7 linked regions of the Oryctolagus cuniculus genome follow. The protein of the gene in region 6 interacts with the protein of the main gene of each other region in a biochemical or structural test. Links are inferred from orthologs where the notes say so. Each region holds a gene or a part of one and is shown on either strand. Other genes may lie near its edges. The genes, in order: RELA, TRIM24, NR0B1, GRIP1, KAT5, PPARG and CDK5.

The links.
Region 1: the proteins of PPARG (region 6) and RELA form a complex in vitro, tested with the Homo sapiens proteins (3 studies listed by BioGRID, with this or other methods). The link is inferred for Oryctolagus cuniculus from reciprocal best matches to the Homo sapiens genes PPARG and RELA.
Region 2: the proteins of PPARG (region 6) and TRIM24 interact in a test that uses a peptide from one of them, tested with the Homo sapiens proteins (2 studies listed by BioGRID). The link is inferred for Oryctolagus cuniculus from reciprocal best matches to the Homo sapiens genes PPARG and TRIM24.
Region 3: the proteins of PPARG (region 6) and NR0B1 form a complex in vitro, tested with the Homo sapiens proteins (2 studies listed by BioGRID, with this or other methods). The link is inferred for Oryctolagus cuniculus from reciprocal best matches to the Homo sapiens genes PPARG and NR0B1.
Region 4: the proteins of PPARG (region 6) and GRIP1 form a complex in vitro, tested with the Homo sapiens proteins (2 studies listed by BioGRID). The link is inferred for Oryctolagus cuniculus from reciprocal best matches to the Homo sapiens genes PPARG and GRIP1.
Region 5: the proteins of PPARG (region 6) and KAT5 form a complex in vitro, tested with the Homo sapiens proteins (2 studies listed by BioGRID, with this or other methods). The link is inferred for Oryctolagus cuniculus from reciprocal best matches to the Homo sapiens genes PPARG and KAT5.
Region 7: of the proteins of PPARG (region 6) and CDK5, one has a biochemical effect on the other in vitro, tested with the Homo sapiens proteins (3 studies listed by BioGRID, with this or other methods). The link is inferred for Oryctolagus cuniculus from reciprocal best matches to the Homo sapiens genes PPARG and CDK5.

Annotation. Positions count from the first base shown.
Region 1 is NC_091432.1:6,038,492-6,042,435, forward strand, and holds the start of RELA (transcription factor p65), read left to right. Parts: upstream 1-1,144; 5' UTR 1,145-1,276; coding exon 1,277-1,283; intron 1,284-1,831; coding exon 1,832-1,858; intron 1,859-1,949; coding exon 1,950-2,101; intron 2,102-2,190; coding exon 2,191-2,339; intron 2,340-2,836; coding exon 2,837-2,928; intron 2,929-3,290; coding exon 3,291-3,422; intron 3,423-3,944. UniProt on the Homo sapiens protein: NF-kappa-B is a pleiotropic transcription factor present in almost all cell types and is the endpoint of a series of signal transduction events that are initiated by a vast array of stimuli related to many biological processes such as inflammation, immunity, differentiation, cell growth, tumorigenesis and apoptosis.
Region 2 is NC_091434.1:185,289,937-185,293,436, reverse strand, and holds part of TRIM24 (transcription intermediary factor 1-alpha), read left to right. Parts: intron 1-349; coding exon 350-678; intron 679-3,500. UniProt on the Homo sapiens protein: Transcriptional coactivator that interacts with numerous nuclear receptors and coactivators and modulates the transcription of target genes.
Region 3 is NC_091453.1:16,770,244-16,772,937, reverse strand, and holds the end of NR0B1 (nuclear receptor subfamily 0 group B member 1), read left to right. Parts: intron 1-1,633; coding exon 1,634-1,878; 3' UTR 1,879-2,194; downstream 2,195-2,694. UniProt on the Homo sapiens protein: Nuclear receptor that lacks a DNA-binding domain and acts as a corepressor that inhibits the transcriptional activity of other nuclear receptors through heterodimeric interactions.
Region 4 is NC_091442.1:68,865,628-68,869,693, reverse strand, and holds the start of GRIP1 (glutamate receptor-interacting protein 1), read left to right. Parts: upstream 1-1,266; 5' UTR 1,267-1,907; coding exon 1,908-2,160; intron 2,161-4,066. UniProt on the Homo sapiens protein: May play a role as a localized scaffold for the assembly of a multiprotein signaling complex and as mediator of the trafficking of its binding partners at specific subcellular location in neurons.
Region 5 is NC_091432.1:6,003,904-6,008,083, reverse strand, and holds the start of KAT5 (histone acetyltransferase KAT5), read left to right. Parts: upstream 1-1,380; 5' UTR 1,381-1,622; coding exon 1,623-1,634; coding exon of another isoform or gene 1,635-1,733; coding exon 1,734-1,800; intron 1,801-2,112; coding exon 2,113-2,181; intron 2,182-2,276; coding exon 2,277-2,413; intron 2,414-2,676; coding exon 2,677-2,832; intron 2,833-2,918; coding exon 2,919-2,993; intron 2,994-3,094; coding exon 3,095-3,169; intron 3,170-3,321; coding exon 3,322-3,570; intron 3,571-3,767; coding exon 3,768-3,857; intron 3,858-4,180. UniProt on the Homo sapiens protein: Catalytic subunit of the NuA4 histone acetyltransferase complex, a multiprotein complex involved in transcriptional activation of select genes principally by acetylation of nucleosomal histones H2A and H4.
Region 6 is NC_091441.1:114,828,119-114,831,618, reverse strand, and holds part of PPARG (peroxisome proliferator-activated receptor gamma), read left to right. Parts: intron 1-260; coding exon 261-711; intron 712-3,500. UniProt on the Homo sapiens protein: Nuclear receptor that binds peroxisome proliferators such as hypolipidemic drugs and fatty acids.
Region 7 is NC_091438.1:22,759,315-22,763,251, reverse strand, and holds the start of CDK5 (cyclin-dependent kinase 5), read right to left. Parts: upstream 2,801-3,937; 5' UTR 2,684-2,800; coding exon 2,647-2,683; intron 2,042-2,646; coding exon 1,953-2,041; intron 1,867-1,952; coding exon 1,799-1,866; intron 1,691-1,798; coding exon 1,630-1,690; intron 1,526-1,629; coding exon 1,469-1,525; intron 820-1,468; coding exon 724-819; intron 629-723; coding exon 554-628; intron 384-553; coding exon 287-383; intron 116-286; coding exon 46-115; intron 1-45. UniProt on the Homo sapiens protein: Proline-directed serine/threonine-protein kinase essential for neuronal cell cycle arrest and differentiation and may be involved in apoptotic cell death in neuronal diseases by triggering abortive cell cycle re-entry. Interacts with D1 and D3-type G1 cyclins.

The sequences.
Region 1 (3,944 bases), on a different chromosome or scaffold from region 6:
CTAAGGCAGACCCTGGCGGGCAGCCGGGGCAGCAGCCAAGACTCGGGGTCCCTGCCGCTCGGGCGGCGCCCGTCTGAGACCCCCGCCCGAGACCCCCGCCCCTGGCCTCAGCTGGCGCAGCTCCCCGGCTGCTGGCCGGCGTCTGGGCCGTGATGCAGGGGCGGGAGGCCGCTCTGCCTTTCAAGGAAATAAAACGCTGATTATTCGGAGTGGACGGCGCACGCGCAGCCCCCGCGGCCGGGAAGCGGACTGCGCCGGAGACACCGGCGGGTGGGCGGGGTGCTCGCTCTCTTTCACTTTTCTCTTCCTGTTTTTTCAGAGCCTGGGAAAGCAAGTCAGAATTTCCAATCTTTTCCAATTCCCACATGGTTTCCTAATTTAGTGCGAGTTCGGAGAAGATACACACACACACAAAGTCTCCCCCGCACCCCGCTTTGGGGAAGCCGCGCGCAGCCTCACCCCAGGAGAGGGTCTGTGCCAGCCCCAGGCCCGCCCCCCGCCCGCAGGGCCGCGGCGGGAGGCCCCGGGCACTCTCGCGGGGGGCGGGACCCTGCGGGTTCGGGCGGCCCCTGGGGGTCCCGGGCGTGGGCAGGCGAGCGCGCCAGGGTGCAGAGAGGAGGCTGCGGGGCCGATCCGGGCGCCTCCCGCACTCGTCTCCGATGGGCCGCCCGCGGGCCGGGGCTGGCGCGGCCGAGGGCCCGGCTCGCCCGCTGCGGGCAGTGGCCGGCGGGGACGTCGGGCGCGCCCCGCACCCCGCGCGCCCCCCGCGCCGAGACGCGTGCGGGGTGAAGCCGCCGGCTCTCCGCGCGCGGGGCGGGCGGCCGCCGCCCAGCCGCTCTGGCCGCGCTCCAGCCCGGCCCGGGTGACATCACCAAGCTCCTCCGACCCGCGGGAGGGGGCCCCCGAAATCCCCTAAAAACAAAGTGAGTAATCGGCAGGCCCGCCCTCCAGGCGGGGCTGGGACGCGGGGGCGAGCGGAGCCGCCCCGGGAGCCGCCTCCGGGCGGGCGGGCGGGTGAGCGTCGGTGTCCGGAGCGGCCGGCGTCTGCCCCCGGCCCCCGCGGGCTCGCCCCGGCGCGGCGCGCACCTGCCCGGACCCCCGCGCGGGGCGGCGGCGGCGGCGGCGGCACAGGCACAGCGCGCAGGCGCGGCCGGGTTCCGGGCAGTGACGCGGCGACGGGCGCGCGCGGCGCATTTCCGCCTCTGGCGAATGGCTCCCCTGTAGCGCGCGCCGCGGGCCCAGCTGCGACCCCGGCCCCGCCCCCGGGACCCCGGCCATGGACGGTGAGGGCGCCCCGGGAGCCGGCGGGGAGGCCGCGCCGGGGCCGCGGGGGCTGTGGCGGGACCCCCGGGCCGCCTTCCGCCGCTTCCTGCGCCGCGGGCGCTGCTGCGCCAGGGAGCGGTCCGGCCGGCCGGTGGCGCGGGGCGGGGCGGGCGGCGGGGGTCTGACTCAGTTTCCCCTCCGCGTGGAGGGGGCCTTGACCGGGGGCCCTCCCGGGGTGGGGGTGCGGGGTGAGCTTTGAGGCGAGTCCGTCGCATGGCCTCTGGGGCAGCCCTGATGGAGTTGTTATGGGAGAGGGTGTGAGTCAGTTTCCTCTCGGGTGGGGGCTGGGGGGTGGGGGGCGCCCTCCCACAGCTCCTCCGAGGACAGTGGGCCGGGCCCTGACTCGGGTTCCCTCAGCACAGCCGGGGGTCCAGACCCCGTTTGCCCTTAGGAAACAGGTGTTTCTGGCTCCTGTACCCCCCACGGAGCAGGTCCTGACTCAGTTTCCCTGGGGCGGGGGGTGGAGGGGACCTGGGCTTGTGCTGACCCTTACCTCCTCCCCTTTCAGACCTGTTCCCCCTCATCTTCCCCTCGGGTAAGTGGGCCGGCCCTGCTCGGTGGCGGGGAGGGGCTCCGGGGGCTGGGGGGCTGGGGGCAGCCCCTGATGGGACCCCCGGCCCCCGCAGAGCCAGCCCAGGCCTCGGGCCCCTTCGTGGAGATCATCGAGCAGCCCAAGCAGCGGGGCATGCGCTTCCGCTACAAGTGCGAGGGCCGCTCGGCGGGCAGCATCCCCGGCGAGCGGAGCACGGACACCACCAAGACCCACCCCACCATCAAGGTCAGTCCTGCTCCCCCTGTGGCGGGCCGGGCGCGGGGGAGGGGCCGCCGAGCCGGCCCTGCCCCCAGCACGCGCTGTACTTTGCACAGATCAATGGCTACACGGGACCCGGGACGGTGCGCATCTCCCTGGTCACCAAGGACCCCCCTCACCGGCCTCACCCGCACGAGCTGGTCGGCAAAGACTGCCGGGACGGCTTCTACGAGGCCGAGCTCTGCCCGGACCGCTGCATCCACAGGTGAGCGCCCGGGGCCGCGCTGGGCGGACTGCTCTCTCCTGCGCTCCTCCTTTCTGGGAGTGGGACTCCTGGGGGACGGGCTGGGGCCCTGACCCTGTGGCTGCCAGCGAACCTGCGGTTCCCCCGAGCGCGCACCCGCGGACAGGCTGTAGGTCGTGCAGATAAACGGTGCACGTGGTGTCAGCCGTGACTTCCAGGCTGGGAGAGAGCCCGGCCGAGGGAGGGGTGCTGGTCTCGTGGCCTGGGGGCGGGAGGCCCGGGGTGGCCTCTGTCAGCTAGGCCTTGAATGGTGAGGCTGATCGGAGAAGCCCGGAAGCATCCCGGGGCGAAGGGAGAGGTGCCGAGGTCAGGGCCTGAGGGCGGGAGGCCGTCGACAGGAGCGGTGGTGTTGCAGCGCAGGGGAGCCGCTGCAGCCGCTGCAGCCAGGACCGGGGCGGATGGGGAGGTGCAGACGGGGCACCGCGGGAGGGTCCGCGCTCTGACGGGGAGGGGCTCAGCTTCCAGAACCTGGGGATCCAGTGTGTGAAGAAGCGCGACCTGGAGCAGGCCATCAGTCAGCGCATCCAGACGAACAACAACCCCTTCCAAGGTGAGGCCCCCCAGCTGCCCGCCCCGCCCCCGCCCCCGCCCCCAGCTGCCCGCCCCGCCCCCAGCCTCCGCCCCCGCCCCCAGCCTCCGCCCCAGCCCCAGGCCTCCGCCCCCGCCCCCAGCCCCCGTCCCCCCCAGCTGCCGCCCCGCCCCCCCAGCCTCCGCCCCCACCCGGCCCCCACCCCAGGCCTCCTGGCCAAGACGCCGCAGCCGGACACCACGTCCCGGCAGGGGACAGGACTGCGGGGTCCCAGTGCAGGCCTTTGTCCGGCGCTGTGGCACCCTTCGCCAGCCCCCAGGCCAGAGCGGCCGGCCCTCCCCGCCCCGTGTGACACCTGCCCGTCCGCCCGTCCGTTGTGACAGTGCCCATAGAAGAGCAGCGTGGGGACTACGACCTGAACGCCGTGAGGCTCTGCTTCCAGGTGACAGTGCGGGACCCAGCAGGCAGGCCCCTACGCCTGCAGCCTGTCCTCTCCCATCCCATCTTTGACAACCGTGAGTGGCTCGGGGGTCACGGGCAGGGGCCGGGGTGGGCCTGGGCGGCAGGAAGGCTGGTGGGCTGGGCTGCGGCGAGCTTCTGCCCGTCGTCCGGCATCCGTGTGTCATCTCCCGTGCCCAGCCCTGCTGGCTGCAGACAGGCAGGGACAGACCCAGAGCCGTCCTTGCTCTAGAGGGTGTGGCTTCGGGGCTGGCGGGGGTCTGATAGGAAGTGGGCGTTTTCCGGATCACGTGGCGAGAGAGTGGCATGCCCCCACCTACACCACGGACTGTGGGAAGTGGACATTACGAGAGCGAGGTGTCCTGGGCGGTGACGATTCCCTGATGACAGCCCGGGAAGCTTGCAGAGGGACTGGGCGGCATCATCAGTTGCAGTTTTTAATTAAATAATGAGCAGGATGAATAAAAATAGAGCAGCGCGGGAACCCTGGGGGCAGGAAGCAGGGTCAGGAGGGACGGGCGCGTGGCCAAGGTGGGTACGATGGGGCCCGGGAGACTGCCCGGGTCAGCGTGGCTCGC
Region 2 (3,500 bases), on a different chromosome or scaffold from region 6:
TTCTAGTCCCGGTTGGGGCGCCGGATTCTGTCCCGGTTGCCCCTCTTCCAGGCCAGCCCTCTGCTGTGGCCAGGGAGTGCAGTGGAGGATGGCCCAGGTACTTGGGCCCTGCACCCCATGGGAGACCAGGAGAAGCACCTGGCTCCTGGCTCCTGCCTTCGGATCAGCGCAGTGCGCTGGCCGCAGCGCGCCGGCCGCGGCGGCCATTGGAGGGTAAACCAACGGCAAAGGAAGACCTTTCTCTCTGTCTCTCTCTCTCACTGTCCACTCTGCCTGTCAAAAAAAAAAAAAAAAAAAAAAAACCAATTAAAGATCCATATGCACATACTGTTCCCTCTTCCTATTGCAGACCAGCTATCCAAGAAGCATACTCACTTCCCTGCTCTTACACAGCGGTCAGAGCTCTGCTTCCGAGGAGACTGTGCCGAGATCCGAAGCCCCTGACAGCACAGGAGATCAGCCTGGACTTCAGCAGGAAAGTTCCTCAAATGAGAAGTCTGATTGGCTGGATGCATCCCAGAAGTCCCCTCTTCATGTTGGAGAGACCAGGAAGGAAGATGATCCCAATGAGGACTGGTGCGCGGTTTGTCAGAACGGAGGGGAACTCTTATGCTGTGACAAGTGTCCCAAAGTATTCCATCTCTCTTGTCATGTGCCCACTCTGACAAATTTCCCAAGGTAAGCTATTATTCAACCTCAGTTAAATTTATCCTAAGGAATTTGATTTTTTTTTTTTTTTTTTTTTTTTTGGTAGCTATTGTGAATGGGATTGGTCTAAGAAGTTCTTTCTCAGCCGTGGCATTGTCTGTATATACAAAAGCTGTTGATTTTTGTGCATTGATTTTATGTCCTGCTACTTTACCAAACTCTTATGAGTTCCAAGTCTCTTGATGGAGTCTTTTGGATCCCTCTATATAGAATCATGTCATCTGCAAATAGGGATAGTTTGACTTCCTCTTCCCCAGTTTGTACCCCTTTGGTTTCTTTTTCTTGCCCAGTGGCTTTGACTAAAACTTTCAGGACTGTATTGAATAGCAGTGGTGAGAGTGGGCATCCTTGTCTGGTTCCAGATCTATGGGAATGCTTCCAACTTTCCCCCATTCAATAGTACACTGGCCATGGGGTTGTTATAAATTGCCATGATTGTGATGAGGAATATTCCTTCTATACTTGATTTGATTAAAGTTTTTATCATGAAAAGGTGCTTTTTTTCTGCATCTATTGAGATAAACATATGGTTTTTGTTCTTAAATTTGTTAATGTGATGTATTACATTGATTTGCAAATGTTGAACCATTCCTGTATACCAGGGATAAATCCCACTTGGTCCTAGTGAATGATCTTTCAGACCTGTTGTTGGATTTGATTGGCTAGAATTCTGTTGAGGATTTTTGTGTCTGTGTTCATCAGGAAAATCGGTCTATAGTTCTCCTCTGCTGTGTCATTTTCAGGCCTAGGTGATGCTGGTTTTGTAGAAGGTGTTCAGGAGGATTCTCTTCCTTTCAGTTGTTTTGAATATCTTGAGAAGAATTGGAGTTAGTTCTTTAAATATTTGGTAGAATTCAGCAATGAAACCGTCCAGTCCTGGGCTTTTCTATGTTGGGAGGGTCTTTATTACTGATTCATTTTAAGTCTTGGTTCTAGGTTTGTTTAGGTTTTCTATATTTTCATGGCTCAATTTAGATATGTTGCATGTTTCCTGGAATCTATCCATTTCTTCTAGTTTTCCCCATTTGTTGACATACAACTGTTTTTAGTAGTTTCTGATGATTTTTTTTTAAGGCAAAAAAATTTTTTTCCATTTTATTCATTTATTTGAGAGGTAGATTTATAGTGAAAGGGAGAAACAGAGAGAAAGGTCTTCCATCCACTGGTTCCTCAAGTGGCTACAACAGCTGGAGCTGTGCTAATCTGAAGCCAGGAGTTTCTTCTGGATCTCCCACACAAGTGCAGAGGCCTAGGTACTTGGGGCCATCATCTACTGCTTTCCCAGGCCATAGCAGAGAGCTGGATCAGAAGAGGAGCAGCCGGGACTAGAACCGGTATCTATATGGGATGCTGATGCCAGAGGGGGAGGGCTAACTTGTTGTGCCATGGCGCCAGCCCTGGAACCTATCCATTTCTTCTAGGTTTCCTCATTTTCTGGCATATAGCTCTTTCTAGTAATTCCTGATGATTCTTTTTATTTCTGTGGTGTCTGTTGTTAAATTTGTCATCTCTAATTTTATTGATTTGGGTCTTCACTTTTTTCACTTAGTTGGGCCAAAGGTGTCGTCAGTTTGGTTTATTTTTTCAGAAAACCAGCTCTTCGTTTTGCTGATCTTTTGTAGGTCTTTTTTTGTTTTGTTTTGATTGCTTTGCTGTTTTTGTTGGTCTATGAGGTACATTGATAACTCATTTATTTGGTGCCTTTCCAATATCTTGATGTAGGCATCAACTGTTATAAACTTTACTCTTAACACTGCTTCTGCTGTATCCCATATGTTTTGATATGTTGTGTTGTCGTCTTCATTTGTTTCCAGAAATTTTCTGACTTCTCTTTTGATTTCTTCTATGACCCAGTGTTCGTTCAGGAGCATGTTGTTCAGTCTCCATGTGTTTGCATTTGCTCTAGAGATTCCTGAGTTGTCTAATTTGCGCTACATTTCATTGTGGTCAGAGAAGGTGCATGGTAGGATTTCAGTTTTTTTGAATTTGCTGAGACTTGCTTCTTGGCCTGGCATGTGGTCAGTCCTAGAGAAAGTTCCGTGCACTGCTGAGAAGGTGGATTCTGCAGCTGTAGGATGGAACGTCCTGTGGGTGTCTGTGAGGTCCATTTGGTCTATGGTGTCGATGAACTCTGTTTCCTTGCTGACTTTCTGTCTGGTTGATCTGTCCATGGCTGAAGGTGGAGTAGTGAAGTCCCGATTACTGCTGTACGGGAGTCTGTGTCTCCTTTCATTCCATTAACATTTGTTTTAAATACCCAGGTGCTCTGTAATTAGGTGCGTATACATTTCTAATAGTGACATCTTCCTGTTGAATTGACCCCTTAATCGTAATATAGTGCCCTTCTTTGTTTCTTGTAACAGTATTTGTGTTAAACTATTTTGTCTTATATTTATGATGGCTACATCAGCTCTTTTTTGGTTTCTGTTACTATGGAATATCTTTTCCATCCTTTCATTTACAGTCTGTGACTATCTTTGTTGGTGATCTGTGTTTCTTGTAGGCAGCAAATAGAGGGTTTTTGTTTTTTAATCCATTCAGCCAGTCGGTATCTTTTTTAACTGGAGATTTGAAGCCATTCAAGGTGACTATTGATAACTAATGACTTTACCCTGCCAGTTTTTCAAAAAATATTCCTATTTTTCAGTTTTGATTTCCTTTGTACTTGCAGATTTGCTGCCTTCACTTTCTTTCATAGTGATGATCATTTTTCTGTGGGTAGCACATCCTTAGGCGTCTTTATTGAGGCTGGACTAGTGGTGACACATTCTTTCAATTTCTGGTTGTTATGG
Region 3 (2,694 bases), on a different chromosome or scaffold from region 6:
AATTCTATTCCTACAAACTCTCTGGGTTTAAACATAAAGATAAGGAGAATTAGGAAACTGTGGAGCCCACCTGCCATTTCTATTTCTTTACTTTAAAGGTAAGACTCTTTTGCAGAAAAAGCCGCAATTTTGGAGGGTGTGGGCATGGATGGGTGTGGTGTGATAGCAGAGAAAAGTAACGTGGAGGTCACAGATGAAGTTTTCATGAACCATGACTCTGGACCTGGAGGAACTTTGAGTTTCTGGTGGAGTTTCATGCAAGCCTCTTCCTTTCATCAGTGGGATTCAAACAATATAATTGAGTTTCAAGCCTGGATGTTGAGCTGTAGGTAGTAGGAGACATTAATGTGTGGACTGGGTAATCTGATTAGGGTATAGGTTAGACGTGCTGCATTATTTTGCTCTTATTTTATTGATCAGATATTTGCCTGTTAGAAGAGTGCCTCATATCTGTCACCATTAGTTTTTAGAGATCACTGATTGGTTCTGCTACTCTGTGATGATTAGCATAATACTTATAAAATATTATTCTGTTGAACTTTGTAGAAAAAGGGAAGGGAAGTGATTGCAATCATAATTGGCATTATTTAATCCTAATGATAAACTATTACTTACTTGAATACAAATTAAAGAACTTTGGAACGATATTACTGTCATGGAGAATCATAGGGCTTTTAAAAACAGACTCCTCTTACCACCTTCTGTACAAGGATTAATATATATAATACAATATAATAAAATAGTATATTAATATATATCCTTCTTTCCAGGGTTGCATTTTCATTCACTTTACTTAAGTATCCACTTGACTGAAAAGAGGTCATGCATTGTCTATTAAAAAAGTTCTGTTTGAACTGTGTTGTGGTCCGTGATATTCTAGTATTTACTTTTAACCCTCTCAAGACTGGAGGAGAATTATTTCTAAAATCTTTTATTTATATATATATATATATTTAAAAAGCCTTTTGGAACACTCATTAGAAGCACCTCCCCTTTTTATAAGCCCCCCAATACAGAAACCATGATACAATGAACTAAATAGCCAGCATTAGTTTTTAAATTATTTTGGGCCTCTAGATTAATATTGATCTGCAGCAAATAATACAGTGAAACCCAGGAGTCACAGTTTGTGGCCGGGGAGTTTACCACTATTGGTTGAATAATCAGTATCATGGTGGGAAATTTGTGGACGGATGGTAAAATATTTGCAGATGGCAAAACTTATTGTACAGTGGACTGTTTTCCATGGTATAAAGCCCAGTGCTCTCCTCCTGAGATAGCATTATTTTTTTTCATATTTGTATAAAAAGTGAGCTGGCACAATGATTCATTAAAGTATACTCGACTGTCAAATTAGGCGTGCACTTGTTGGCTCACAGCCAGCATTTTTAAATGTGTGTATACAAGCATTGTGGATATTTAATAAGGAAAATCACCTTAATGTTTCATTCTTGGAAGTGTTGTTTCTGGAAACTTACAACTGGTTTGGTATTTTATCTGTGCTCTCAAAAACCCTTGAATCAGGAATCTTGAGCTTTTGTTTAATTGGGAAGAGGCAGAAAGGATAGATTTAAAAATCTAGCAAAGGATTTGTGATGAGCCATTTCTAACAAGGAGATTTTTCTCCCTCCAGACCTGCCAGGCCTGCAGTGCGTGAAGTACATTCAGGGACTTCAGTGGGGAACTCAGCAGATACTCACTGAACACGTCAGGATGACGCACCGAGGGCACCAGGCCAGATTCGCTGAACTGAACAGTGCTCTTTTCCTGCTGAGATTCATCAATGCCAATGTCATTGCTGAACTGTTCTTCAGGCCCATCATTGGCACAGTCAGCATGGATGATATGATGCTGGAGATGCTTTGTGCGAAGTTATGAAGCCATTTAGCCCATACAAGCCAAGTTAACCGTGTAAGAGGTGTGGATAGAAGAATGTCAAATATTGTGAAATAAACTTTCTTATTATTTTTACATGCATAGTATTTTTGTATTCAATTAAAGAAATAGTTTAGTTATAGATGATTAACAAAGCCTCTGTTCTATGATGTTTCATTGTGAAGGAAAACGTTTGTCAACAAGTAACACACTTCTGTACATCTTTAAGAGAAGAGCAGGGTATTCCACTAGTCAGCTATTTCCAAAAGCTTAGTCACTGACTCCAATGTACCTGCTCAAATTGAATTTGTAATATTACATTTTAATAAATTTTAAGGTGTTAACCATTAACATGACTGAAAAGTTTCATTGGGGGCTTAACTAAGACTTCAAAACTTATTAAAACCTAGTCAACATAAGCAAAAAATACCTCTCTAAGTAACATGGCATTTGATGTTATGGCCTGCCAGTGTTGTTAGGAAAAGACTTTGCTCTGTCTTCATTTCCACACCTGTCAGTTACATGGAAGACTGTCTTTGTACCCAAAAGGAGACAAGAAGCAGTGTTGGTTGGAGAGCCTCATAAAAATGAAATATGAGAATTTTTAGTTTTCTTTTGGGATATTTCTATACACCATTATGGAACTGAAATCAAGTTTACGTTCTATAAGGAAGAGTTATAGTTCCAGAACTCAATATAATTATAAACCCCTAATTACCTTTCACCTTTTAGATGTGTTGTCTATGTGACTGTAACTTTGAACAAACATGGCAGAAAATCGTAAAGTGACTTCACTATGGGTTCCTGGTACCTCTTGCA
Region 4 (4,066 bases), on a different chromosome or scaffold from region 6:
CTGTCTTTCATCTGTGATAGTAACCAATTCATACTGTTAGATACAGAGAGGGAAGAAAGATGATTGTGATCCTGAATTACTAAGAAGGTATTTATCATCGTAGCTGCAAGAACATATGATGTCAGTTTAGCTCGTCTCAATCTAATTAATATCTTTTTATCCTTCTTTTCCTAGTTGGCCTTTTTTCTCTTTATTCCCTCCTCTATCACATCCTTTAGACAAAAGTTCTTCATCAAAGGTTCATACAAAGGTGGACATGTATGAGTCTCAGGAGTCCTAGAATTCATTGTATCTACCAGCCAAATTGCATTTTTGTGGGAAGATGAATCCTGATTTTCTCCTGATTCTCAAAGGTTTCTGTGTAACTCCATTACATTGGAAAGACCAAGAAATATCCCATGGATGGAAAATATAGGTATTATGAGGTCACATAATATAACATTCTGAAAACACAGTGTATCCACTCGAATATCAAAGAACTGAAAAAGTGAGTACTTACTCTTTACAGTTATGTAAATATTGTTATCAAATGACTGGCACCCCCTCCACACACAAATAGCAATAGAAACTTAAGGCATTTTAGAGAAGGTAAAGACTAGAGAACTTGGGCACCCAACTTCATTGCTGGCATGTTAACTGTGGTAAGCAGTTAGGGAACAGATGATATGGGCTGTTCCAGCACACAAGACAGTGGTCAGTTTGGACCAATGGATAGTTTAAGTTCAAGCTTGAGAACCTCTTGAGGTTCAACGATGGCTGCTGCTTAACTACTCTACTACTTTGGACAAGTTACTTAATCTTCATGTATCATTATTTTCTCATCTGGAAATTGAGGGTGCTAATAGTAACAACCTTTTTTTTTTTTTTTTTTTTTTTTTTTTTTTTTTTTAATTTTTTTGACAGGCAGAGTGGACAGTGAGAGAGAGAGACAGAGAGAAAGGTCTTCCTTTGCCGTTGGTTCACCCTCCAATGGCCGCCGCAGTCGGCGCGCTGAGGCCAGCGCACCGCGCTGATCTGATGGCAGGAGCCAGGAGCCAGGTGCTTCTCCTGGTCTCCCATGGGGTGCAGGGCCCAAGCACCTGGGCCATCCTCCACTGCACTCCCTGGCCACAGCAGAGGGCTGGCCTGGAAGAGGGGCAACTGGGACAGAATCCGGCGCCCCGACCGGGACTAGAACCTGGTGTGCCGGCGCCGCTAGGCGGAGGATTAGCCTAGTGAGCCGCGGCGCCAGCCTAGTAACAACCTTTTATAATCTGGGGGAAGACTCAGTAATTGATGTAAGGTGGTAATGAAAAGATCTCCTTTATTAAACTCTTAGGGCAAAGCCAGAATGTAGGAAGATCAGAGGACCCCTCCTCCTTGTCAGCATTAATTTCCTGTTCCCTGGTTTCTATTTGCCATCACTCTTGTGCCAGGGCCAATTATTGTTCTCCTCTTGTTTTCATTTATGATTTTCTCTGTCTGACCAGTGGGAAGGAGACAGGTGCAAAAATGAAAATGAAAATGATTCTGAAGGCTTGCTTTGTTTTAATGTAGCAAATAAAAATACCCCAAGATTCCAGAACTACTCATTCAATTGCATAAAACCAAAAATAAACATAAGCAACATCTCTTTTATTTTCCACCTAGTAAGGCTCATATACTGAGTTCTCTAATACAGTTTATACGTGCAGCCATGTCCATGAAACTTACTGTCAATCAACATTGTTGAATGCCCAGTATACATAAAGCATTAAGGGGGATAGAGTAGTTTCACTTATAAAAAGTAGCTATATGTGATGAAAGACTAGCAAGGATGCCAAGAGTATTGTCCTCTAGTTCTATTTAACTGAAATCTTGTATACCTTTCTTTGTGTTTAGAGTTTTTTGAAAGATGCAAGGACATTGCTGCCCATTTTGAGAAAGCCATGGCAAAGTCAGTTAAGAAACACCAGTTTAGCTCTTCTGAACCTTATCTTCCAGCAACTTTAATCCTGAACAGCATCTCCTTTAATACTGATGGTTCCATCCAATATAAAGGAAAGTCATTTTTCTCTGCCTCCGAAGCCCTAGCTGCTTACATTGATGATTTTCACTTAAGCTGTGAACCTTCTGATATTAATGATACAAAGGTTAACCAGGATCAGAGCCCTCTTGAATTTCTTGCTAAGTCAAACAGTGGTAAGCTTTCATCATTCTGAGTTCAATGTTTAATTATGTATAGAAAGCTGTTGTCTTAAGAGGTATATGTCCTAAAAGATATGTTTTCTTAGAAAATAGTTGTCTAGTAGTTCATGAATCTCTTTATAAGGTTGTTATAAAATCTTATGTTTCTAAAATTTTTTCAGCAATGGATTCTTTTGAACAGAGAAATTACAGAATTAATTTTAAAATACAAGTTGCTGCAGTAATTTCAGAGAGGCAAACTCCAGATTTGGAGTCTAAAGCTCTGGTTTCTGGGTTTGAAAATGTTAAAAAAAAGTCATGTAAATTCTGCAAGCCAAAGATACCCCTTTGTAAAATAATAATGATGATCACTTCACATGGTCATTGTTGGAACTAGATGAATGTGAAAACATTCTGTAAATTGTTGCAGACGTAGGGTTCTTGGGTTCTTTGGAGCACAATTAAATAACAATGTGATAGAGATCTGGTGACTGACATGGTCTGGATCCGACTTTGCTAATGACAGGGTATAAGAAGAGTCTCTCTGGGCTTTGGTTTTCTTGTCAATAAGATGAGGATATTGAATTTATGAGTTCCATAATTTTAAAATTACATATTATGTAGGTGACAGAAAAATAAAATTGGGCCACACCAATATTTTAGTATTTCTCATTTTAAGAATATCATTTGTAAAAGCTGAAACAAGTTTATCATGAAACCAAAACTGGATGAATCAGAAATACTAACACCAACAATAAAAATGCCTACTCTTTTGTTAGACATAGTTTTAAGACCATATGTTAGTGTCCATAAGAGAATATTAGGAAACTACAAATGTACAGTGATATTTACTGATTGATGTCAGACTATAATAACAACTTAGCATATTACTGTATGCCATACTTGATATATGCAGAGTAAGAAGAGGTGTAACAGCTTCCTGTTTATTAAATGAAAAAAAAAACATAGAGCTAAATGAGGACTCACAAAGTAACATAGTTGTACACAAGAGAAAAATCATGCTTCTTTATGCTAACTCGTCTGGTTTGACTGTTGAACACTATTTGACAAGTGGGGAGGCATGATACAGGGACTGAGCATGAAAGTGTGGTTTAAGTGCCCATGATGTCTATGCAACTGAAGGACAGGCAGCATTGTAATACTGTCAGTATTACAATGACAAGGATTTTGTTGTTTTTTTATTTTGTTGAGGTTTGATAGTAGAGTTTTTCATTTTGTATGTTTTTTATGTTTATTTAACAAATTCAATGTGCTTTGTAGATACAATTCCAAAACATAATATTATTCCCTTTCTTCCTCCCTCCCATATCTCCCTCCCACCTTCTTCCTTTTTTAAAAAGTTTTTGAGATAGCATATTTTAAAATTACATTACAGTTAAAAAGATTAATACTTCACCAAATAAGAAGTTTAATAAGTACAAAGCAAAAAGGCCCTAGGTGAGTGGGAATATAGATGATGGCTGTAAGCAATAATTGAATGAAAAAATGACCATTTCACCCATACACAGTAAAATAATCACAGATCATTAAAACTAGAGTTTTTGATTTTTGATTTTTCTTGAATCCACAAACAAGAGGCCAGATAAAGGCAGTTGCTTTTTCCCCATATCCTCTGGAGCTATTAACTCCACAATCAGTGGTATTCTTGACAATTACTCATAAAGGTAAATAGAGTTCCCAATTTTTTCATTATAAACATATTATGTTACAAACTATGCAACAGATAAAGGGTTGATAACCAGAATCTATAAAGAAATCAAGAAACTCCACAACATCAAAACAACCCACTTAAGAGATGGGCCAAGGACCTCAATAGACATTTTTCAAAAGAGGAAATCCAAATGGCCAACAGACACTTGAAAAAATGTTCAAGATCACTAGCAATCAGGGAAATGTAAAT
Region 5 (4,180 bases), on a different chromosome or scaffold from region 6:
GGCCCAGCGCTGGCCATTGTGGCCAATTAAGGAGTGAACCAGCGGATGGAAGACTCTCTCTCTGCCTCTGTAACCTTCAAATAAATAAATCTTTAAAAACATCCTTTATGGGCAATGAAATTTAAACTTCAAACAACTTCTCCTGTTAAGAAATACTGTTTTGTCCCCCCAACCGCTTTAACACATCAACAGCACGGGTGCTGGTCAAGGGCGCAGTCCAGACACCATGCTCGGCCCCAGCCCCCGCAGCCAGGGGGCCCCAAGGCCCAGCCGCGCTGTCAGCGCCGCGCGTCCCCATGGGAGCCGCTGCCCCTGCTTCCCGGCCTGCCCGGCGGAGTTCCAACAGGACCTGCTCGCGAACACGTGGCCCTCCCTCGTCTCCAGACCTCTTCCTCTCTCTCTTCCTTCTTAGCAGCTTCACAAAGACCAAGGCGGGGTGTAGTAAAACGGCGCCGTCTTCCTAAGCCCAGCCCGGCTCAGCCGAGCGCGGGCTTCCCAAGGCCCAGCCGCAGGGTCAGCTCCAGCCCACGCTGAGGGGCCTGGCCGGCCACGTCCTCCCTCCGCACGGCCCCGGAGGACCCGTTCGCCACAGGCCGCTGCTCTGCGCGCCAGGGCCCCCCCCACAGTAACCCTGCCCCTCACTCCGGCGTCTGGTGTTCTGTGGGGGCCCACGGGCCGCGGGACACGCCAGGCCCACACCCGTCTGCCTGTCCACCAGACACGGGCCAGCGCGTGCAGCGCGGCGCGGCTGCCCCCGCGGGACGGCCTGTGCGTCTGGAACTTTCTCTGGGTCCCTTCAAGCCTTCTTTCCAATAGTTAAGCTTTCAGCCAGCGCTGCCCGGCTACTCCAGCCCGACCGCCCGCGCCTGACCACCCTGCTCGGGTTTTCGGGGTTCCCCAACACTTAGCCCTGAAACAGAGGCAACCGCGGCCATTAACCCTCCCCTCCCCGCAACTTCCAGGAACGCGAGCTCCGCCAGGGGAGGGGTCTGTCCGCTCGCCCCCACGCGCTCCAGGGCCGGCAGTGGAGCCCGGCACACGGCGGGAACTCACCGCACGTCTACAGGCCGCAAAAATAACGCACACACCGGTTCTCAACCAGGAACTCGGGGTACGAGGTTAGACACCCGCGCCCCCGCGCCTCGAACTCGGCCCCGCAGCCGTCCCGCTACTCCCGCCCACTTGTCCAACTTGGCCACGCCCACCGCCCGCCCTCAGGCCCGCCCCGCGCCCAGCACGCGCACCCGGCGCCGGGCGACGCCTCCCGCCGCCACTAGGAGACTCCCGAACGCGGCCGCCCGTCCGAGCCCAAACACTAGTCCCACGTGACCCGCGCCGCAGCCACGTGACCGGCGTCGCACCCGGTGGGCGTCACGTGACGGACTCAGTTTTCCTCCAATCGCGGCGCACGTTGTGGAGGTTCCACCCAAGACCTGGCCCGAGGCTCCGAGCACCCCATTTTCGCGCCGGCCAAAAGGGCTAGCTCCCCGCTTCCAGCCGGGCGGCGGTGTCCCTCAAGGGTCCTTTACTAAACAGGCTCAGAGGGCCCGGGTCTGCAGCGTTCGCGATCCCGGAAGTGACGTCTCCCAGAGGGGCCGGAAGTGGCAGTAGAGGGAGGGAAGATGGCGGAGGTGGTGAGTCCGGTGCCCGGGGCGGGGCGGAGGGAACCAGGGGAGGTGGGTAGAGCCCGCGGCCCCACAGTAGCCGACCCTGGCGCCGCGCTGTCTCCCCAGGGGGAGATAATCGAGGGCTGCCGCCTACCTGTGCTGCGGCGGAACCAGGACAACGAAGATGAGTGGCGTGAGTGACGTCGGGGGGCGGGGCTAAGAAATACGAGGCGGGAGGGAGTCAGCCGAATGGGGCGGGGCTTCTAGAATGCTGGTGCGGGCGGGGCGCTGGCGCTCCAAAGGAGGGGCGTGGCTTCTAGCCGTTCCGACCTGGACAGGGCGGGGCCTGGAGAGTGGGTTGCACTTGGTGTCTGAAGGGGGCTTGGGCGCGAGCTGCGCAGTGCTGGGGCGCGGGGATCCGGCCGAGGGGTGGGGCTCGGGTCCTAGGAGGGTGGCGTCTCGGGGCCCTGCCCGTCTAAGGCCTCTGCCTGTGCCGTTCCCATAGCCCTGGCCGAGATCCTGAGCGTGAAGGACATTAGTGGCCGGAAGCTCTTCTACGTCCATTACATTGACTGTGAGTCCTGGGCCTGGCTGAGGTGGGGCTGCGGGGCGGGCGCGGGGCGGGGGCAGCCTCTGGCATTCCGTCCTGAGCCATGCCCACCGCTGCAGTCAACAAACGCCTGGATGAATGGGTGACCCACGAGCGGCTGGACCTAAAGAAAATCCAGTTCCCCAAGAAAGAGGCCAAGACCCCGACCAAGAACGGACTGCCTGGGTCCCGCCCCGGATCTCCCGAGAGAGAGGTGGTGAGTAGGGCCCCACTCCACCTCTCCTGCCTCCTACTCTTCTCGTCTCTCGGCCTTAGGGGGCTCCTGGCTGGGCAGGAGGCAGCACCCCCCGCCCCGACTCCAGCTTGCAAAGCATGGGGCCAGGTTGCAGATGTAGCTTCCGGTCCAGTGGCCAGTCCTTGAGAAGGCAGCGGGCGGGGCTCAGTCACTCCACGCCGAGGGGGCCCCTCGTCCCCTGCGCCTCCCCACCCCAGAGGAAGACCCTGGACCTATCTCTGCAGCCGGCCTCCGCCCAGGCCAGCGGGAAGACCTTGCCAATCCCGGTCCAGATCACGCTCCGCTTCAACCTGCCCAAGGAGCGGGAGGCCATTCCCGGTGGTGAGCCCGACCCGCCGCTGTCCTCCAGCTCCTGCCTGCAGCCCGGCCACCGCTCCACGGTACCCTCAGCACTTCAGGGACCTTCTTTCCTCTCAGGTCCCCCTTCCCTACCTTCTCACCCACCGGCCTCGGTTTCCCTCTGCAGAAACGGAAGGTGGAGGTGGTGTCGCCAGCGACTCCCGTGCCCAGCGAGACGGCCCCGGCCTCCGTGTTCCCCCAGGTAGGCCCGAGCCGTCTCGTCTCACTGCCCTGCCTGCCCTGCCCCCGCCGGCGTCTCCGGCTCAGCTCACAGCCCCCCGCATTCCCGCCGTCTCTTCACAGAATGGGTCAGCCCGTAGGGCGGTGGCAGCGCAGCCAGGGCGGAAGCGGAAGTCAAACTGCTTGGGCACGGACGAGGTGGGTCTGGGGGCTGGGTGGGGAGGGGCCGTGAGGCGGGTGGGCGGGGGCTGGGCCTGGTCTCTGAGAAGTGGGGTCACAGCAGCTGCCCCGGGGTCGCAGACGGGCGGCGCGTGGCTCCTGTAACGTGCCGTCTCCCCCGGCCCCGGCAGGACTCCCAGGACAGCTCCGATGGCATCCCGTCGGCTCCGCGCATGACTGGCAGCCTGGTGTCCGACCGGAGCCACGACGACATCGTCACTCGGATGAAGAACATCGAGTGCATCGAGCTGGGCCGGCACCGCCTCAAGCCGTGGTACTTCTCCCCGTACCCGCAGGAGCTCACCGCGCTGCCGGTCCTCTACCTGTGCGAGTTCTGCCTCAAGTACGGCCGCAGCCTCAAGTGCCTGCAGCGCCACCTGGTAGGCGGAGCCCAGGAGCGCCCGCCCTGCGCCCCAGAGTCCAGGAGCACCCGCCCCGCCCCCCAAAGTCCAGGAGCGCCCGCCCCTGCGCCCCCCAGAGTCCAGGAGCACCCGCCCCGCCCCCCAGAGTCCAGGAGCGCCCCCGCGCCCCCCCGGAGTCCAGGAGCGCCCGCCCCTGACCCTCCTCTCCTCCTCAGACCAAGTGCGACCTACGCCACCCCCCTGGCAACGAGATCTACCGCAAGGGCACCATCTCCTTCTTCGAGATCGACGGGCGCAAGAACAAGGTCAGTGGCCGCGGGCAGCGGGCGGCTGCTGCTTGCTCGGGGGCACACTGGCCTGCCCAGCCGGCAGCTTGTTCAGCCCGTGGTGTTAAGAAAGGTTTGTTTATTTGAAAAGCAAAGTTAGAGCGTGGCATCCGCTGGTTCACGCCCCAAATGACCACGAGGCCGGGGCTGGGCCAGGAGCCTGGGGCTCCATCCGGGTCCCCGCACGGGTGCAGGGGCCCGAGCGCTTGAACCATCTTGCGCTGCTTTCCCGGGCCACAGCAGGGAGCTGGGGTGGAAGCAGAGCAGCCGGGTGTTGCAGGAGACGGCTTAACCCGCCGTGC
Region 6 (3,500 bases):
TTTTCGCCAGTCATAGGTAAAAGTTGCAGTATTAATTAAAGGATAAGAAGATCAAAATCGGTGGAATGTCCTCGGGCCTAGGACGTGATCACGATGACTAGTAAGACAGTAAGCGTCCTTCCTCATGGCTAACGGTCTTCAGCTTCAAAGATTTTGCCGAGCTAAGCAGAAGTGTCTAGAGCCACTTTCTGAACTGGGATGGCACTCGCTGGGAGTTAAGGATGTCTGACTCAGCCACCTTTCCCCTTTTTTATTTGCAGCCGTTTGTGATCTATGACATGAATTCCTTAATGATGGGAGAAGATAAAATCAAGTTCAAACACATCACCCCCCTGCAGGAGCAGAGCAAAGAAGTCGCCATCCGCATCTTTCAGGGCTGCCAGTTCCGCTCCGTGGAGGCCGTGCAGGAGATCACAGAGTATGCCAAAAACATCCCTGGCTTTGTGAGCCTTGACTTGAACGACCAGGTGACTCTGCTCAAGTACGGCGTCCATGAGATCATCTACACCATGCTGGCCTCCTTGATGAATAAAGACGGGGTCCTCATATCGGAGGGACAAGGCTTCATGACGAGGGAGTTCCTAAAGAGTCTGCGAAAGCCCTTTGGTGACTTTATGGAGCCCAAGTTTGAATTTGCTGTGAAGTTCAATGCACTGGAGTTAGATGACAGTGACTTGGCAATATTCATAGCCGTCATCATTCTCAGTGGAGGTAAGATCCATCTTTTAATTTTCCGTGAAAGAGTGTGGGACGACTAGAAGTGCTGTATTTCCTGTGATAGTCCATGTTCCTTTTTACCCTGTTCTTAACAGCATTTCTCATATAAAAAGAGCTAGTTCTTTTAGGAGAACTTGGGCTGTCTTTTTATCCCTCACGGTATTTTTTCTGGTCAGACCCAATCATAGAAGACGAATGCCCACTTCTCCTTTTTCTTTCTTCTTTTTTCTTACCTTCCCTCCCAGAAGGCCAGTGCGATCTTCAGTTCATTTGAGTAATGACATGTGTGACTTTACCTAATGATGGTGCTCACTTGGCATAGACAGGTATTGATAAAGGTTTATTTGCTTTTTAAGGTTTATTTATTTATTTATGTGATAGGCAGAGCGATAGAGAGGGGAGGATGGAAGACCTCTGCTGGTTCACTCCCCACATGGTTGCAACAGCCAGGTGTAGGCCAGGCCGAAGCCGGGAACCAGAAACTCCATGTGGGTGGGAGAGGCCACACCCCTGGGCATCTCCTGCTGTTTCCCAGGGATATTAGCAGTAGAGAATGCGAAGCGGAGCAGCGGGAACTTGAACAAGCACTCTGATGTGGGACACTGGCGTCATAAGCATGAACACCGGTCTCGCTATATTTTTAACCCAATTATGCTCCTGCCCCAGTTATGTTACTTTGAGTCACTTTCCTGATACCAGGAATCAAGGAATTCACCAGTATGTCTGTCTATGGTCCTGTATGCTCATGTGGATTCCTCCGCAGGCTTCCCTCAAAGTACCTTTGTTACGTAGTTGGCTGAGGTTAAGAATACAATCTGGACCAAAAAACACAGAGCAGAGAAAAGTTGAGTTATTTAGCCATGGTGGTATAGTCTTGGCCTTGCCAATACATGATCTAATCAGCCAGTCCTCGAAGCCAGCCTTCAAACTAAGTGTTATTTTCATTAGCCTCCCATGTTTTCAAGTTGAATAGAAGAAATTTTACTTTCATCTCTCTACTTAAAAACTGTTTTTAAACAAGCAGGTCCAGCTAAGGTTTTCCTGCGTACTCTGCCATGTTCTCTGTGGTCTTATAGATGTCAGTGTGTGTCACTGTGCTATGTATCATAAAGGGATAATCCTCTCTGTAGTCCTTTGTTGTCCAGTTGAGAACTGGATGCTTCTGAAATCAGGGACATACTGTACTCGCAGTAATAACCGCATGTGCTGATGGAGTTCTTGCTGTAGGGCAGGCCGTGTTCGGAGCGCTTCACACACATTCGCTTATCCCCGAAACAACCCAGGCAGGAAACCAAAGCACTGAAATGTTCACTCCCTTGCCCAGGGTTGCACAGTGAGCCAGATGTGGAGCCAGGCTTATGATCTGCCTGGTTCTCTGTGCTTAACTAAACACTGTGCACAATACCACCCTTTGAATGTCTAGGGTACAGATAGGCAACCGTTTGACAGACATTAAATCTGAAGCCTCAAGTCCAGTTTCAAGTCATGACTTACTAAGTGAAGGGACATTTTGACATTATGATTAATAAGGCAAAAATATCCCTTCCATCATGTTTTAATGTCTTGAGTGAATCACTTCATAAGCAAATTAACTCTTGACCCTTTGGGATCTTTGATTAATTCATTGGGAGTTGAGGTTCAGTTGAAGTTCATTGAGAGATAAATATCAAATTTGATTCAGAGAATACAAAAAAGCAAAGGTCTCTGTCCTCTGAATAAAATGGAACAAAGTCCTAGTTCTCCTCTAAAAATGTTTCTATATATTACCTGTGTACAGTTGTGTAAATATAGACACATAATGTTTTCTAAAATACCATTCTTAATGACTGTAAAATATTCCAGCCTACAAAGGGACCACTACAGACTAAATTATCTCCCTATACATGTTAGGGTTACTTAGAATAAAAACTACAGGGAAGAATACAGAATGCTGTTGAAAATTTGTTCTAAATTTTGCTGTAGTGAACCTTCTTATGTGTAAATTTCTATTCACACTTCAGATCATTTTCTCTTTCTAAGTTACCAAAGGTTGCTGGCTATGAACATTACTTTCTCAATCTTTATCCTATTTTAAAAATTATTTACTTATTTGAGAGACAGAGAGGGAAACAGACATACAGAGAGAAAGAGACCGAACAAGAGAGAGTGCTCCCACCTGCTGGTTCATCCCCCAAAGGCCCCAGCAGCCAGGCTGAATCCCAGGCAGGAACTCAGTCTGGTCTCTCCTGAGGGTGGCAGGAACCCAGCCACTGGTGCCACCACAGCTGCTCTCCGGGGTGCACAGTAGCAGGAAGCTGCAGTCAGGAGCCAGAGTCAGGAGTCCAGCCCAGGTGGACTCCTGCCATGTGGGCCCCGATGCTCCGGCTTACGCCCTTTGTCATCTCATCGCCCAGCTGCATAAGGTTTGTGGCAGTTTCTATTCCCAGCACAGAAGCCAAGAGCAGCCCTGAAATCAGCCGTTCCAAGATGCTTATTTTCTACGTGGGGAAGGTCTAGAGAAGACACAGTCGTTATAACTCTGGGCTCTGTGAACCTCAGCAACATCGTAGAAAAGAATAGCATTACTGTTCCTGACTTCATTTCTGACAAGCTAGATTGTTTGAAAATTGGTGACTCATTAGTCCTTTCAAAAATTCCTTAGTTGGGCTGGCGCCTCGGCTCACTAGGCTAATCCGCCACCTTGCAGCGCCGGCACACCGGGTTCTAGTCCCGGTCGGGGCGCCGGATTCTGTCCCAGTTGCCTCCCTTCTAGGCCAGCTCTCTGCTGTGACCCGGGAGTGCAG
Region 7 (3,937 bases), on a different chromosome or scaffold from region 6:
CCAGCGGGCCCAGGGCTCAGGGCCCTGGGGGCAGCGAAAGGATATCGGAAGATCCTCTTCAGCTGGTCATCCACATCGTTGCCAGGGAAGAGGGGCCGGCCGGCATTGGCCAGCTCTGTGAGAGGGGCACAGCCGTGACGCACCGCGCACTCCTCACTCCGAGGCACCCCTGCACCTGCCATTCCCGGACCCGAGGGCCCTACTCCCTTCCCCGAGAGGGCACCCTCCAGACCCTGTTTGTCAACCCAGATTGGGGAGAAAGAGCAGAGCCGCCCCAGCACGTCACCTGCGAAGATGCAGCCGGCTGACCACATGTCGATGGACGTGGAGTACAGCTTGGCCCCAAAGAGGACATCCGGTGGGCGGTACCACAGCGTGACCACCTGGAGAAGACCCCACCCACAGGGACGCCCTCCCGTTTAGAGGGCTGGGACGGAGGGTGGAGAGGGGAGCTCAGAGAAGAGAGGGCACTGTCTCGGGTTGGTCATGGAGCAGGAGCTGAAAAACACCAGGGACTGCTCCCCTCAACTCCAAATCCCACCCCCCAGCTCACCTCAGCTGAGTAACAGCGGACAGGAATCCCAAAGGCTCGAGCCAAGCCGAAATCGGCCAATTTCAGTTCCCCATTCTGGGGGGAGACGGGAGGGAGGCACGGCACGGGGCTGTTAAACGTCTCAGGGCAGGCTCCTGCCCCCTGCCCTCCCCTTCTCCCCTGAGCAGTACCCTGTTTATGAGCAGGTTCTGGGGCTTTAGGTCTCTGTGCAGCACGTTGCGGCTGTGACAGAATCCCAGGCCTTTCAGCAGCTGGAAGAGGAATGACTAGAGAGGGGCAGAGGGGACAGAGTCAGACACCCTGGCTACGAGGTGATGCCAGCCATGGGCATGCTCCCTGCCTCACCCTCAGCTTTGTTCCATGTCCTACCCAATCCCCAGCACCAAGCTCAGGACAACACTATATGCACTCACTGCCGAGGGTTGGCTTTGCAGCCCGTACAGCAGGAAACAAGTGGCTCTGCTCCCTGCCCTTCCAGACCTTATAGCCCGATAGGCCTTCTGCCTTCCCAGCCCATGCCTCTCTCCCCTACCTGGCTGGACCTGAGTGTACAGTCTGTCACCATCAACATGGATATTGTGCTCTGGGATGGTTCAGGACCTGACTCCCCTGGAACCTGGGCCAAGGCACTTGGTCTCGGGCCTAGTACTCTCAGCAAATGTTTGTTGATTAAATGAGTGTAGCTCTTTGGGTGGAAATAGCCGTTGGCCTCAGAGTGTCACTATACAGGTCCAAGGAGGCCATGTGGAAATGCTGGCTAAGCCCGGAGGCCCCTGGAGGGCAGGAGCAGGTTTGCTCTTTCTCTGACACCCCCCCCCCAGAAAGTCCCTGATTTGTGCCTAAACAGGAGAGCTGACACTGCATACAGACCGGAACCCCAGCCCCGAAGAGCCCCCAGAACACCCTTCCCCTCACCTTCACAATCTCAGGATCGAGGTCACCATTGCAGCTGTCAAAATACTTCTTGAGGTCCTGTCAAGGGATGCAGCGGGGGAACAGGACAGAGGTGAACCTCCGTCTGGGCCCCACACCCTCCCAAGCCTGCTCCCTTTCAGCCCACCCCCATCCCCTTTCACCTGGTCACAGAACTCAAAAACCAAAGTCAGCTTCTTGTCACTATGCAGGACATCGTGAAGCCTACGGAGAAGCAAGGGCTGAGCCAGGCAGGTCTGCACGTCTGCACCACCCCAACCAGGCTGAAGCCCCCTCCTCCTCCACCTGCAGGGCCCCCTGCCCCCTCCACACCTGACAATGTTCTTGTGCTTCAGCTCCTTAAGCAGGCAGATCTCCCGGAGGGCTGAACTCGGCACACCCTGCACAGCGAGGGAGCAGCAGTCAGATCCCACTCACCCCAGGCCTCCTCATCTGCCACTCCCTGCCCTGGTGTCCCCGGTCCTACCTCGTCATCGTCATCCAGCCTCACGCGTTTCAGAGCCACGATTTCGTGAGTCTCTCGGTTTTTGGCCTTGAACACTGTTCCGTAAGTGCCTAAGGGGAGGAGGTCATAGATGAGGGGGAGGATGCGGCACCCTCCCCATCCCCAGGAAATGGGGAGGGGGAAGGGCACTTGAGTGTGTAAGGGAAAGGCTTCAGGGTGAGGGGCAGGCTTGCAAGAGCTTTGTAAGTGAGGACGCTGCAGGGTAGGGAAGGCCTAAAGGTTGAGGCTCCAGGGTCTGAGCCGGAGGCCAGGGTAAGGACAGCGCTAATAAGGGCGGCACTCCGGGAGGTCTGGCCATAGCAGGACTCTGGGAGAGAACTGAGGGCCTGCAGAAATGTCAAGGCTGAAGATCTGCTGGGGTCCGGGTGAGGATGTGCAAGTGGTGCTGAAGCTAGGCGTGGGAAACGCAGGACGTGCCGCGGCTGGGAGGTCGGCTCCACAGGGAGGCTAACGTTGGGAGTGGGAGTCCGCGGAGAATGCTAACACGGGCAGGGCTGGTGTCTGCACGGAGTGCTGAGCTTGGGGGCCAGGGCTGCAAGCCAGTGCTGAGGTCGGAGCCTGCAGGTACCGCAGACTACGGGAGAGCCTAGGCTGCAAGGAATCCCGAAGGGTCTGCAGAAGAAGATCTTGCAGGAACATCTCGTGGTTCTATTACCTTCCCCAATCTTCTCCAGCTTCTCGTATTTCTGCATCACGGCAGCCGCGGGGACCCCTGCGGGCCCTGGGTTCTAAGACTCCGGCCCCGGCGTTGCAGAGGAGGCGGCACCCCAGCCTCCGGCCCCGCCCCGCCTCCTGTCTGCGCATGGCCTTCTGGGGCTTGTAGTCCTAGGACGGCCAGGTTTCCCAGCGGTGTCCGGAGACTCGGGCAAGAGGACTACAGCCCCCAGCAGGCTGCGCTAAGGTCCTCTGCAGCACTCGACTCCCGGGACTCCGGTTCGACCGCGGAGGCAAACCCTGGACTCCAAGTCCCAGAAAGCATCACGCGTCCGCTCCTTGGGCGTCCCCACCGTGACGCCACGGTTCCCAGTGTGCCCCGCTCTTGTTACTCCTTTTCTGTGTGCCTTCTTGAAAAGGGTCGCTCTGGGACTACGCGTTCCAGAATGCGGCGGGGTGGGGGTAGGGCGCCCTCGGGTTGAGGTCTGGCGGCCCAGATCCGGGACCTAGTGGCTCAGCTCTGACCTGGTTGGTGATGATGAGTTCCGAGCGACCTCAGCGCGGGTTTCCACCTCGCCCCAGGCCTCCCAGTGACCTCAAGGTTGATTGGGGAATAGGAACGATGACCTCACAGGGACCAGCTGACCCCAGGGCTGGGTAGAGGCAGGTGTTTGCCATTTCTGGCTGGATTGGAAGGGTGACTTCTCCCTCTGCTGGACCTCATCTGTCGTCTCGGAGCCCATGATGAGGCGAGCCGGCTGGAGCCCTGGGAGTCCCCCCAGATCCCAGTCTTCCGAGCAGAGCCCACTGGAGGCAGTAAGGGTGTGGCCCACGAGGGCTGACAGGTTGGTTACCCCCTCTACAGACAAGACCACAGACAGATGCTACACTTACAGCAGCCTTTACCTCATCCCTTACGGCAGTTGATTATAGATTTTCCTGTGCTGCTCTCTAATTGTCTCATGATTGCATTCTTCCGGGCTGTGAACTGGACGAAAACAGCCCCAAATAGCACTCCGCAGCCAGGAACCAGAACTGGTGCTGACAATTTGTGGATTAATTCCTTTATATCAGAATGCTTTCGCATACACAATGCTGTGCTTCACCCACGTGGCAGACTAAAAAAACAAAAAAGTATATAATCCTTACCTAAACGCATTTTTAATTGAGAAAACAAGATGGCACACAAGTTCTTTAAAAGAACAGGACTCGATTCAGGGTGGGAGGTAGCAAGGACGAGGAGGGGGCCGCCGCGAGGCGTTTGTGTCCCTGAAAGTGACCGGTCCTAGGTC